Linked DNA regions of Schizosaccharomyces pombe. The protein of the gene in region 2 interacts with the protein of the main gene of each other region in a pairwise test. Each region holds a gene or a part of one and is shown on either strand. Other genes may lie near its edges. The genes, in order: pst1 and php4.

Region 1 (8,355 bases), 540 kb from region 2:
GAAAATGGGGAATGCTGAGCAGAATAAGTGTAAACTGAACTCGGGTTCTTATGGAAAATTCGGTCTGTTGTAAATTCCGTTCCAAGAACTTTATACCATTGAACGTAGAATGACCTATAGTTTAATGATTGAAGAAGAAAAATGTAAAGACGGAATAATAAACGTAGTGTAAACAATAGGTGTGCTGCAATATCTCAAATAGTAATTATATCACCAAAACTCTTGCTTAGCTATTAATTGATATATACTAGTATTCAGAAAAGAAAACCAATTAGCTTTCTAAATCTAAGCGTGTTTTTTATGAGTAAGGGAATTGCATGCTATTCATATACGTTGAAAAGTTGGGTACTTTTGCTAAAAATCAAACGACTTTCGTCCACACCCATAAAGACGGAGCGCGGATTACGCTAGCCGCGACCAAACTTCATATTACCGCTTTGCTTGGTAGAGATCAAGAAAAACTCTCAGCAAAAATTGATTCTTTACTATTAAAATACAATTGAAGCACTATTCACTGTGGTAATTTGAGATTGTTCGAAACAAAAAAAATATTTATTATAATAAATTCCTTGTTACGCCAAAGATTATTTATTGAAACAAAATATATAGGTACAGCAGATTCATAGATTATAAAGAGAATAACAGAAATGATAACAAAACAGAGATAGATGTCCTTTAAATTTGATAATTACGTAGAAAATTAAGTAAAATGGTAATGCCGAAAATGCTTAGAGAAGAAAACAAAAACTTTTGGGGGTATTAGCTGCAATACTAACAATGGCTTGCAAGAACAGATTAGGGAATTGGGGAGTTATGCACAAACTAAGATGGGAGCAAGAAATGATATAAATGATATCGAGGAAAACAGAAATGGATAAATCTACAGATCATCCTTGGAAGGCTCTTCTTCCATCGTGTTGTCGGCGTCCAGCGTCTCTTCAGTTTGATCGTCCATATCAGTTTTATCGTCCTCATTATCAGCATCATTCTCTGCCGTTTGTTTTACACTTGTAAACACTGGTGATGGGGATTTCTTTTCAGAAGATCTCTCGGGGCGATGACTTGAAGTCTCAAAGTCAGGAGCTGTAGACTTCGCTACGTCGTGATCATCTTCAACGTCTGAAGCATGTTTTGCAACGGGAGACATGCTGCCTTCCCGATTTTTCTCCTCATCCTCAATGGATTCTTTTTCTTTTTCTTTTTCGGAAAGATTGATCTTATTTGAGCTGTCATCGTTATTACGCCCATTGCGAGCTTTCAAATTAGTCTTGTTTCCTCTTGTTACAGAAGATTTTCCATTTACTTTCGGTGGCAGCCCTTTGTCTAGTTTCTTTCCGTTCCCAGATTCATTAAGCAAATTTTTCCCCTTTTTACCTATGCTTTCAACACCTGCGTTTTCAGAAAACCGCTCAGCCTTGCCGGAGCGAAGAGTGGATTCATTGAATAAGCTTTCTATGGTACAAGGCTTGATACGTCTTACCTTATCTTTGGAGAGACCTTGTGTCCAGCCTTCATCACTATTAAGCCATTCACGCCATTTTGATTGCCGGTAATCACGAATTTTATCATAAGGACCATTATACACTTGCTCAGAATTTCTAGCAAATACATCTTCGGTCCCATTTTCATATCTGATTTTAACGGTATTAATTGGTATTGTCAAGGCTAGTCCTGATTCCAAGAAACTAGTAATAATAGCATTTGCACTTTTTACCACGGAACTAGACTCGTCATCCTCATTTCCTTCATCTGAGGGCAAGCATTTTCGAAGGAATGGTATTCGAACATGCTCAGGTAATATGCCTTCAGTCGGACTCGACATTATGTAACTTCCAATGTAATAGCACCACTTTTCTGCATCCGACTTGAGAGTTCCCATTGTTAGATCTTCGCGTCCCATTAGCCTTATGGCTGATTGTCGAGTTTGTGAATTCCAATCAATGCAACATAAATTTTCATCTGGTCCAAACGCAGTCTCTGTTTGTATCCGATACATGATTTGTTGACGAGGACTAGTACGTCTTTGTACTCGATCTTTCTCGTAATACATGAAAACTTGAGCCAAGCGACGGTTGGTTGTAACGGAATGTAGTTGTTTAATAATAGAAGTGACCAATTTTTCAACGGTGTATAATCTAAAAGCATGAATACCGTAAAGACAACGTAAAGCATCTTCAAACCCATTTTGATCAATTTCACCTTCCATCAAGCGTTCGCACAACTGAATCGCTTGCTCGTAAACAGTGTCAGCTGTAGGTAAAGCAAAGCCAAGACGTTCAGAAGGATGGCGAACTAATCCGAGCTCAACTGCGACAGGATTGGATTTGACATCATGTTGCTTACTATAAGCCATTTGCTCAAGATTTTTAATCTCTTCTAACCTTGAATATAAAGTGTGGAACAAACGAAAAAAACAATACAGGCTCATGTTTCCAAATAAATTATACACAGAACGATCAGACAATTTTGTTCCATCGTCAAGGAGACTACCATCAGTATCGGTAAATTTACAATTCACCCAAACTTCGCCAGTTGAAAAAACTGATGAAGACTCATCGTCATTTTCCTCATGCTCACTAATATGTTCATCAATTTCACTGGCGTCAGGTGTCCTCTCAGTACTTTCTGATACATAATCTTCCTTAACTGAACTTCTATTTTCACGAGCTCCTCTATAAGTCTTCTTTAATACATCCTTCAAAAGCCTTAGGCCATTGTTGTTAGCATGGTGAATGGGCGAACTGGAAGCTCTCGGTTTTTCTATGAGACTAGATGACAAAGAATCAATATCAGATTCCTCTTCGTTAAAATGAGTGGGAAGATAAGGAATAAACGAGTCATAGGGAACATCGAAAAAAAGTGAAAGAAACGACCGAAGAAAATTAGACATCTTCTCGTTATCCTCAGCAGAGTGAGTTGAACCATGAATCAGAAAAACCCCAAACAAACGAGCAATATCAGTAATAATATTGGGGTCCTTGTAAGAAAATAAAAATTGGTGAGAGGGTGTGACTTTCCCTTCTGATAGTTCAACTTTCTGCTGCTGGGCTAAATTACGAAGCTCAGAAATAAGGAATTTGGGAGTGGTACTTTTCTTGTCAACACTTTTAAATGATACTCCCTGATGGTCCAAACTTCGATAAAAGTTTTTCTCTTCTATATCATGCCAAAGTTCATTCCAATGGTTTTGAAGCGATCTCCATTCTCTATCTTTTTTCTTCAAACGTTCCAAAACAATTGGTATGGTTACCGAAGGGTTTTTCTGCAGATTCTCGATAATTTGCTGTGCATGTTCTTTTCCGTAAACTTTTTTAATGACCTTATGATAAATCGAGACAGACTTGCCTCCTAGATTAGATGGAAGAGTCCAGTTTGCCTTTTCAACTTCACTCATTTTTAACATTTTGTCAGCATGAATTTGTAAAAGTTCTATAAAACGCATGTTAGCACCAATATGACGATCATATTCATATCTTTCCTCCTCTAGTTTATGTAAATTTTCCTCAAATTGATTTTTCCTGTGTGCAATAAATCCAGAATCCTCTGAAGCCAAAGTTGGGAAACTAACCCATGCATCATTCAAAATTGTCCAGCATAAATCATCCCTACCCGAGCAAGGAAGCAAAAGCTCGATTTTTGGCAATAAGCGGTAACTTGGTCCACAGCTTTTGCATTGTGTAAGATCTACTCTAGGTCTAGGTACAGGGATCGGGTTTGCAGGATTATATTTGACCAAGTCCTTTAACCAGTTCATTAAGTGCTCATTACTACCGAAAAAAACATAGCACCTCTCAACGAGTGCGTTTTTATCAAAAACCTCTTGAGAATAAAGTTCCAAGAGTTTAATAAATTCATTGTACTTTGATTCATTGGCAAGATATTGGCGTGCATGCTCCAAAAACTCAAGTTCTGAGGGATTTTTGTTTTGTGCTATAGGTACGTTAAATGCACGTGGTGTAGTCTCCTCAACGGAAGAAGTAGCAGTCCTAGTTCTTTTGGAATGATTTCTAGTCTGCACAGCAGGTTCTCCTCTACGCTTTTCAGGTGCAGGTTGGGCTTTGGCAGTAGTGGGTGGAGCAAATTTACCAATAGGGGGGAGTGCACTCGTAGGAGTGGCTGATGGAGATCGTTTTGGAGTGGCAGTAGCTGATTCTTGAGGCACTACTGTAGACTTGTCCTGAGTTTCGGCGGGAGCATTAACTGATACGTCAGGTAAAAAACGCTTGAACTCCTCTAATAAGTCAGGAGCTTCCGCAAATAACTGAGATACTTGAAAATAGACAAGTTGTATAGGTCGTTGATCGTGTTGGTATGATTTTAGGATGTCTAAAAACGAGTTATAGGCTTCAGGTTTATGGGAAAACCGATTTTTAACATTATTAACAAAATTAATGGCTTGGTCGAGATCGGCAGCCTGTTTCACAGATGCATCAACTGGAGGATATGATGGAGCAGCTGGAGAAGGAGAGGGGTTAAATTGCAATGTAGATGGAGCCGGAGGTTGCAAAACAGGATGAGAGGCTGACGATTGTTTCATATTCATGGAAGTATAAGAGGCAGCCGCAGGAAGAGGTGTAGTTGAACCATGTGGAGGCGGAGGAGCAGTGGTTTTACCTAAATCATTGATCATTAGAGGACCTTGAGGCGTAGTGATATGGATTCCTGCCAAAGATCCAGGATCTGCACTGCTTATTTCAATGCTGTATCCAGGAGGTAAAAATGTATTAAAACCCTGAATCAGATTTGGGTATCCAGCAAATAATTTTGAAACTCTGGTAATGACTTCTGGTGTTTCAATCGCCTGCGATTTGAACTCTTTCATGATATCTAAAAACTCATTATAAATTTCGGGTTCTTGATGAAACTGCAATTTAACAAGATCCAGGTATGATAAAGCATCTGTGACATTCAACTGTCGGTACTCTTGAGGAGGTGGAGGTGGAGCAGAAGGATTTTGATTAGGAACAAAAGGAGAAGCAGAAGATTTTACAGTGCCTGGTCTAGGAATATTAGAATCAGTAGAAGAAAGTATGGTCGGTTGTTGCTCAATGGCGCGAGCGGGACTTGCTGAGATCACAGTAACATTAGGGTGCGACTGGGGTTGTGGTGGGGGAGGAAGCTGCGAAGGCGGCCCACCATAAACAGCAGCATACCCATTTGCAGGATTCGGTATGGCTGTATGAGACACTTGTGTATTTACATTACGGTAAAGTAAACGCCCCGTTGCCGGATCGTATACTGGACTGATAGAGTTGAATAAAGGGAATGGAGGTGGTCCTTGTGGGTTGGTGTGAGGAGGGGCCTGAGTAAATAAAGGTGCTAATCAAATAATTAGTATTTTTATACAAATATATTTTGTAATTAGTAGTTTCAAGTAAAACAAATCCTACTGTTTACAATAAAATCAATATTGTTTTACATGTCAAAACCATAACAAGTTAGAGCAAATTACATACCATTACCGGGATGATAGGCCATCGTCCCAGAAGGAGTCAAGTAAGGTCCTGTATAATTTATTGCGACATTGGAATAATCTTCAAGCCTGTGGCATTGGCCTAAACGTGCATCTTGCCAGTCTTTTGCCATCCCAAAAGTTGTTGGTATAGAGCATGTCGGTCCTGGCCACGTAACATGGTTGACATACTCTAGCGATTTAAGCGGGATACGCGATCCATAAACGAGAGATTTTTCAAACGCGATTGGAAGAAAAGGATTTACCGAGGTAATATTTCGAGTAACATTTTTTCAAGTAACAAAAAAGAAGTAAACAACCCAAAACCGAAACGGCCGTCTTGGATATGAAAGTGAGTGCTAGAGGACTATGACCTGGTATGCGGTTTCTAATATTTTGGCAGCAAGTACTTTTAGCTGAAAATTCAATCCCCGAAATTTTCTGATTGATGTGTAAAGGAGAAACATCAGGCCAAACTGGATCAAGCAATATGAGGATTTTATTAAAAGTTTTCAAGATTAAGCGCTGAATCAGCAGATTGATAGTTTATTACAAACATGGTAGAAGAATTAGATAAAAAAATTTTATTATTACTTTTTTTTCTTCTGAAATCGACTAATTTATAATGCTTGAATGAGAAAGTCATTAAATTGATGAAATTGTTCTAACGTTTTCCAATAGTATAGTGAAGGCGTACATTGTCATTGAAATGTCCTGGTCAACCCTGATATTTAATAGAAAAATATTATTTATTTTTCAGTCTGCTGTTTTGTGTATGAAAAATTAGTTCATTATTTAAGGAGAAAACACACAAAATAGTCTGGATAATCTTAAGGAAAATACAATAAAAAAACAATAAAGTAGTAAGGTTTAATAATATCCCAAATTCTTTTATGATTAAGAAACAACCGAAAATTTTTTTAATCAATTGTTTTGAATACTTAGGGTGAACCAAAAGACCCTTCATCAATTTACACCACCTCAATTTAACATGTTCATCGTAACTTTCTTGTCTTGGCCATTAAATTACATTCAATAGAATTTTTGCAACCGTTATGCAAGAATGTTTACATCTCCATTTTTAAGTGTTATTTATACTTTATCAATTGCAAAGTTCTGCAGAAAGCTGCCTTTAGAAATTTATGAGTCTAAACCTTTGATTAAATTAGACTCTCGTTTATATTGCTTCTCACCATCAAAGTCCTCTATACAGTGATGACAAAGCGGCTGACGGATTGTATATATTTATGCACAGATCCTTAAGCCCCACCACCTTCACTGAACGACCACCAACTCTTCCTTAGTATTGGAAAAGTCGATTTTACTTATCAATGTGGTAAGCTATTTGTTTGTTTTATATCTATTTAAATATTTGATCGTCCTTTTATGCTAATACGAAGCTAGTGGTATCTTTGGATATATTAATTATTTGGTTGAACGAGACCGTGGATATATCCTCAAAACACTCGTTAAAGGTAAATTAAAATCGTTTATATTGTTTTTAATATGTCAATTTCTGAAATGCTTAAGTTGTGGATTGCTTTCGATCACAGTGATTACGCTTTGTTTGTGATGTGTTCTCTCTCATGACATTTAATCTATCTGCTACTTCAATTTTCTGTTTACTTATTAAACAAAAGTATAAACAAATTAAAACTCATTTTACTAATTCAGGTTTAGGTCTCAAACGTCTGGAATATCGGGGTTATGATTCTTCAGGATGTGCTGTCGATGGAGATGAAGGTGAAGACTTCATCATGTTCAAAGAAGTTGGCAATGTTAGTAAATTAGAGGCATCTATAAAAGGATCGAACGTGAATAAATCCACTAAATTTATCAACCATTGCGCCATTAGTCACACCCGTTGGGCAACTCATGGCATCCCTTCTCCCATTAATTGTCATCCCCAGCGGTCTGACCCTCATAGTGAATTCATAGTCGTTCATAACGGTATTTTAACCAACTATCGTGAGCTACGCACCGTTCTTGAATCGAGAGGCATGGTTTTTGAAAGCGAAACCGATACTGAATGTGTGGCTAAGCTCGCTAAATTTATTTACGACACTACTCCAGGAGTTGACTTCACATCACTCGCTAAACTCGTCTTTCGTGAACTTGAAGGTGCCTACGCTTTACTCATTAAAAGCAGTCACTACCCTGGTGAAGTGGTCGCAACTCGTCGTGGTTCTCCATTAATAGTTGGTGTCAAAAGTGAGCAAAAGCTCAAAGTTGACTTTGTCGATGTAGAATTTCCCGAGCCTGCAGAAGGTCTACCTGGAACTCCTAAACCCACCAGCTTGCATCCAGTTTTTTCCAACCCAGCTACCAATGGTATGCTTCGTGGTGACAAACCCGACTTGTTACATCGCGCTCAAAGTCGTGCTTTTGTATCGGGTGAAGGAGTTCCGGGTCCCATAGAGTATTTTTTCGCATCTGATGCTACTCCCATCATTGAGTACACTAAGCGTGTGATGTTTCTAGAAGATGATGATATAGCACACGTTCGCGATGGTGAATTACATGTTCATAGGTTGCGTCGTGAAGGCGGTGGTAGTACGACTCGTACCATTGAAACTTTGGAGATGGAGATTGCCAGTGTTATGAAAGGAAACTATGACCATTACATGATTAAAGAAATTTGTGAACAGCCAGATAGCCTGTTAAATACCATGCGGGGACGTGTTAATTTTGTAAACAGGCTTGTTACATTGGGTGGTTTGGAAAGTTATTATGACATTATTCGCAAAAGTCGTCGCCTAATTTTCGTGGCTTGTGGAACCTCCTACCATTCATGTGTAGCCGTTCGTCCTTTGTTCGAAGAACTCACTAATATCCCTGTAGTGGTGGAGTTAGCGTCTGATTTTGTGGACCGTTGTCCATCAGTTTTCCGTGATGACACTTTC
Region 2 (4,922 bases):
CAAAGTAAATGATTATAGTAATTTCCCAAATAAATATAGTTAGGTGACTTACTGACTCCGCCTAACGCGTAAGTTGGATTGTTGAAACAATTAAGCTCTTGCTGTTACAACGGTATAGCTTAATACCCAAATAATTACTTAAATGCTTTAAATCATCATAATACCAACAAACGTTCGTTTTTATAATCAGAGACAAGAAGATTTTAAGATTTGCAGGGAGGTATACTCATATATAAATTCATTGTATTTTAGAGTACTATCAATTATGTATCTCAAAGAGTATATAGTAATACATGAAATAAAAGTTTTTAAAGTTGAATTATAATTTGATGTTCTATAATTGGGGTGAATGCACCCTAATTGACAATAGAGAATTCTACGAAAAAAATCATGCATCCAGGATAGTCATATAGGATTTTGGTTAAAATTGGCAGCACAATATAGTTTTTGATGCAATTACAGTTAACATGCATAATACTTGTTTTGAAAAAAAGTTATGAATAAAAGCTCAATTGTAAGCACATCACAAAGAACGATTTTTAATCGTAATTGACGATATGTAATTTTGGATTTCATATAAAATTGTAACTACTTATTAAATGATCATTAGGGGAAATAGCGCACACTGTTTTATATCCTCTTCAAATTTACAAAATGAAATTAATCAATTTTAGCAATTTACCTATTTTATATGATTGAATTGAATTGAAAAAACCATGAGTTGATTATGACGCTGAAAGAAAGACATATAAGATCCTTAGGACACTACAACTCTTTCTACTTGAATGCGAAAGTGGATTGGTCTCACCAAAAGATTACCGTACACAAGAACTTCGGTGCTCTAGCAAGTTTTCTTTCAACCAGGGCAATTGCAAAACGAAGAAATTCTAGTGGTACACCACACTGTTAAAAAAAATTGACTAGCATATTAACATTGTTAGATTATTCACTTTTTAAATTTGGAAATACGAAGCTTCAAACATAAGCCATAATAAACACAGTGAAGGCTTTAGCATTAAATTTATTAAAAACACTGCTTAGCAGTTTGTAAAGTCAAATGTTTGCTATGAACATTTTGAGTAAAAATATAACAAAGATTTATTCTTTTCTATACAAATCAGAAAATATATAAAAACAAAACATATAGTGAAATTAACATATATAACAGAAAAGGAAGCAATGTAATGAACAAAGCGATCTAGACTAGAATATGTCAAGGAAACATACTTTACGACGTACAGCCAGTCTAGTGAGTAAAAAAAAAACACACTCTTAAAACAAATACCAAGAACACGAAAAATAAAATGTTGTAATATTTCTGAATGTATTGGTTCAAATACCAGTAGTGAACGTTAGTATTAACAGAAAGAAATCCAAAAAGAACGAAAATGCACAACGAATAAAATAGTATGAAGCAAGATAATTAAGTCCGAAAATAAAAATTCCGTACCATGGAAAAAGGTAATGGAGATCACTTACAAACAGAAAAGTCGCTGCTGAGATGCAATAACAAGAGGAGATGAGAGATGACAAAAACTTTTGGGAAACTTAGGAAGAAGAGGATATGGAAGTGACGGGACGAACATCGTTAAAATTTGGTTCCATGGTAGGAAGTTTGAAGGCGATTGAAGGACCTGCCTTTAACATCGGAGCAGACTTCGAGGACTTGTGTAAGTCAATAAGTAGTTGAGCATAAACCTTGGTTTCCTCGGATTCACGGACACGTTTAACAGATTTAGGGCTTCCAGAGTACAAACATCCTTCTACACTATTGCAAACACCACGTTTACGTATCTTCTCCATTACTGCTGGGTTTTCAGGTGTAAAATTAATTTCGTTTTGGGGAGACATAGATACACGAATTCTTCCATTTTCGGATGGAACGGACTTTGCATCTTTACTGTCACTATCCACACGAATTCTCTTGGCCGAATCACCCAAGAAGGCATGAGGATCTAGCTCAATGGGAATCTCTGTATAAACGGCATTCTTAGCACAGGGCGGCTCGACCGGATAATTGTACTGATTTACATAACGGTTTTCATTCTCAGTAGTCGCAGAATCTGGCTTGACAACTTCAGAGTTTACTTCGACTTCCTTGGGGCTATCCAAAGTAGAATTCTTCAACTGAGCCTGCAGCATCTCCAACTGCTCAAGCAGCTCGTTGTTCTCCTTCTGTAACTTTCCGATCGTATCCTGATATTGTTTTTCACGAACACGGAATTTGGCTTCCTCGACCGACAAAGCTGAAGTCGGCCCAGGTCTTGGTTTAATAGGTGCCTTTCTTCTTCCCAGAGCATCTAACGCAGGTTTCCTTCCTGGTTTGGGACGAGGAGGAACAACCCATTGTTTAGAGACGCGAATCATCGGCTTTTGAGGTGCTGGAGAAGCAGAAGATGATTTTTCCACTTCCGATGGACTTTTAGACGATTCCATGAGCAAAAAAAAAGTTGGGGGGATAGGAGATATCAAGTACAGAACTACACTTTTAGCAAAATATATAAATCTTTATTTTCCAATACTCCAATGCCTCTACTGACCAAGCTTAAAAATCTCACTTTTTCAAACGTTTGTCGTTGGTGGTTTGTTTTAATCTGATAAAGAGATACGATTAAATTATATCTGATCTAAGTGCCGTGTGGTTCGATGATTGTACTGTTAACCCGGTATGCAACACCTCGTTATATCTTTAAAGACTCAATTTTCGGGAAAAAACGGATTAGTGAACAGGTCGGCTTAGAGGCGCTGTTGACATACATTCTCAATACCCATCATTTCAGTTACAGAACCAATTAAAAAACGCGGGTATGGTGGACATCATCTGATTAAAACCGATCGACCTAATAAACTCTGGGCTCTGGCTATGTAATACTACAATCATTCGGCACACCAACTATCATAGTAATGCTTATCCATGTTACTTTTTTGGAGTTAAATTAATGTTCTGACTCACTGCTTTTCTCATGTCATACCGTCCTTTGAAGATTATTTAACATTTGTTTATATTTTTGATATAATGAGATGAAACGAAAGTGCACTAACACATGTGACTGTTTTTTGACTCCTAGTATATAAGAAATGTGAGTGAGTTAAAACAAAGCTTCATCTCACAAAATAATGAATTACTGATGTCAAAAAGTCTGCTCTCTTCTAACGCGGTTATAATATAGAACCGTATTAATGGTTGCAGCTTTTTCCTCTTCATGGAATCGGTATAGATTATGTCGGGGAGACCGACAGCATAGCTTAAAACCATCGTGAAGTCGTTGCTTCGTGCCATGGCTCGTGATGACCGAATGCTACGTACAGTTTTTATATTTTATATCATTTTTTAGTTTGATTTATGTTGTATTCAGTTATTGTTGTAGTTAAAATACGTTGTTTTAATAATTCACGTTGTTTCGTGCCTTCTCAATGAATATCATTTTTTTGTAAGCATCATATGTCTCATGTACAGTAGTGGTAAAAAGAATAAAGGTTGCTATGCACGCAAGGATGGAGTGAATGTATGGATACTTAGCTACTCAGTTTATCCAAATGGTTTCGATAAAACTTCAAGCACAATCTTAAATTAAAGTTACTTTGCAAATTCATCAACGGGATTGCGATTGTCGTGAAAAATTTAATTGATTATTAATAATTCAATTATAAAAATATGAAACAAAAGAGCTCGAAAAAACATTACTTATAAGAAAAATCGAAACAGCGCTAAAACATTTACTGTAAAGCTGAGGAACACCGAAAATAGCAAAATTTAAATCTTCAAGCTACTCGTACCCTGAATACTCAAGGCATATATAGTACCATTAGCTGATTACAACTCTTGAACCTATCATGATGTGCCTTGTTGTTCTTTCCCTTAAGTCTCTTTTCCCGAATTTTGTAGATCAGCAGCCTCCTCGATCTTTTCCTTAACATCTTTGCTGTCAACTTTTTCAGCCTTTTCATTTGCCTCTTTATTATCATCCTTCGCAGGCTTCTCGTTAGTGTCCTTACTGTCAGTCTGTTCGACTTTGTCCGCAGTTTCTTTGCTATCGGTCTTTTCCTCCTTGTCATCGACCTCTATACTATCAGTCTCCTTAGCCTTGACATCGGCCTCTTTACTTTCAGTTTCTTCGACCTTGTCCTCAGTTTCTTTGCTATCGGTCTTTTCATCCTTGTCATTGGCCTCTATACTATCAGTCTCCTTGGCTTTGACATCGGTCTCCGTTTTACCAGTGTCTTCATTTGTTATCTTTGTATCTTTCTCCTCAACATCCTTATGAAGACTAGCTTTGTTATTTTCGTCCTTACTCTCCTTTTCTTCCCCAACGTCAGATTTCTCTTCTAAATTGGCTTCCGAATCAGCATTCTTGGCTTCAGTTTTCTCAGAAATTTCAGCTGTATCAGACACATCGGATGCTCCTTTACCAACAGCAGGCTCATCAGTTTCGGTTTTTTCGGCTTCAACAGAGGTAGAGTCCTTTGGCTCAGATGTTAGTACCTTGGATTTAGCATTGGATGATCCCATTTGTTCTTCTGATACGGTCTCAAGCGTGCGAGCGGCTTGCTTTCGTGACTCGTCGGGTTTTTTTTCCACTACAACTTCCTTAGTGCTTGCAGTAGGCTTACTTGTGTCTTTTTTCATCTCTAACTCTTCATTGTAAGCTGATTCAAGATCACTATCATCGAGAGCAAAAGCAGAATTAGCGACTTCAATCGCACCATTGCTATCCAAAATGAAGGATTGTCCCTCCACAAAGGCGGCTGAAGAACTTGATTCTACGGAGCGACGGTTGGAGTTCAATGAAGATCGCCTCATCATTGGAGATGAAGATGATTCTAAGCGAAGTCTCTCAAAATCTTTCTCATTCAGCATGTGTGGATCAGATTCATATGGGGGAAGCGTAATGGCTGTTCCTGGTCGAGAGGGTTTACGACGT

The links.
Region 1: the proteins of php4 (region 2) and pst1 interact in a two-hybrid assay, tested with the Schizosaccharomyces pombe proteins (one large-scale study listed by BioGRID).

What each region holds. Positions count from the first base shown.
Region 1 is NC_003423.3:2,449,283-2,457,637, reverse strand, and holds pst1 (Clr6 I prime and Rpd3L histone deacetylase complex subunit Pst1), read right to left. Parts: upstream 5,611-8,355; 5' UTR 5,587-5,610; coding exon 5,457-5,586; intron 5,322-5,456; exon of another isoform or gene 5,320-5,321; coding exon 881-5,319; 3' UTR 519-880; downstream 1-518. Other genes in the region: gfa1 (glutamine-fructose-6-phosphate transaminase), read left to right, coding at 6,784-6,788, 6,857-6,927, 7,133-8,355.
Region 2 is NC_003423.3:1,914,302-1,919,223, forward strand, and holds php4 (CCAAT-binding factor complex repressor Php4), read right to left. Parts: upstream 2,592-4,922; 5' UTR 2,437-2,591; coding exon 1,549-2,436; 3' UTR 1,074-1,548; downstream 1-1,073. Other genes in the region: SPOM_SPBC16E9.02C (CUE domain protein ), read right to left, coding at 3,860-4,922. UniProt on the Schizosaccharomyces pombe protein: Component of the transcription regulatory CCAAT-binding complex. Required for the reprogramming of the cell for iron use. Down-regulates pcl1, sdh4, and isa1 underlow-iron conditions.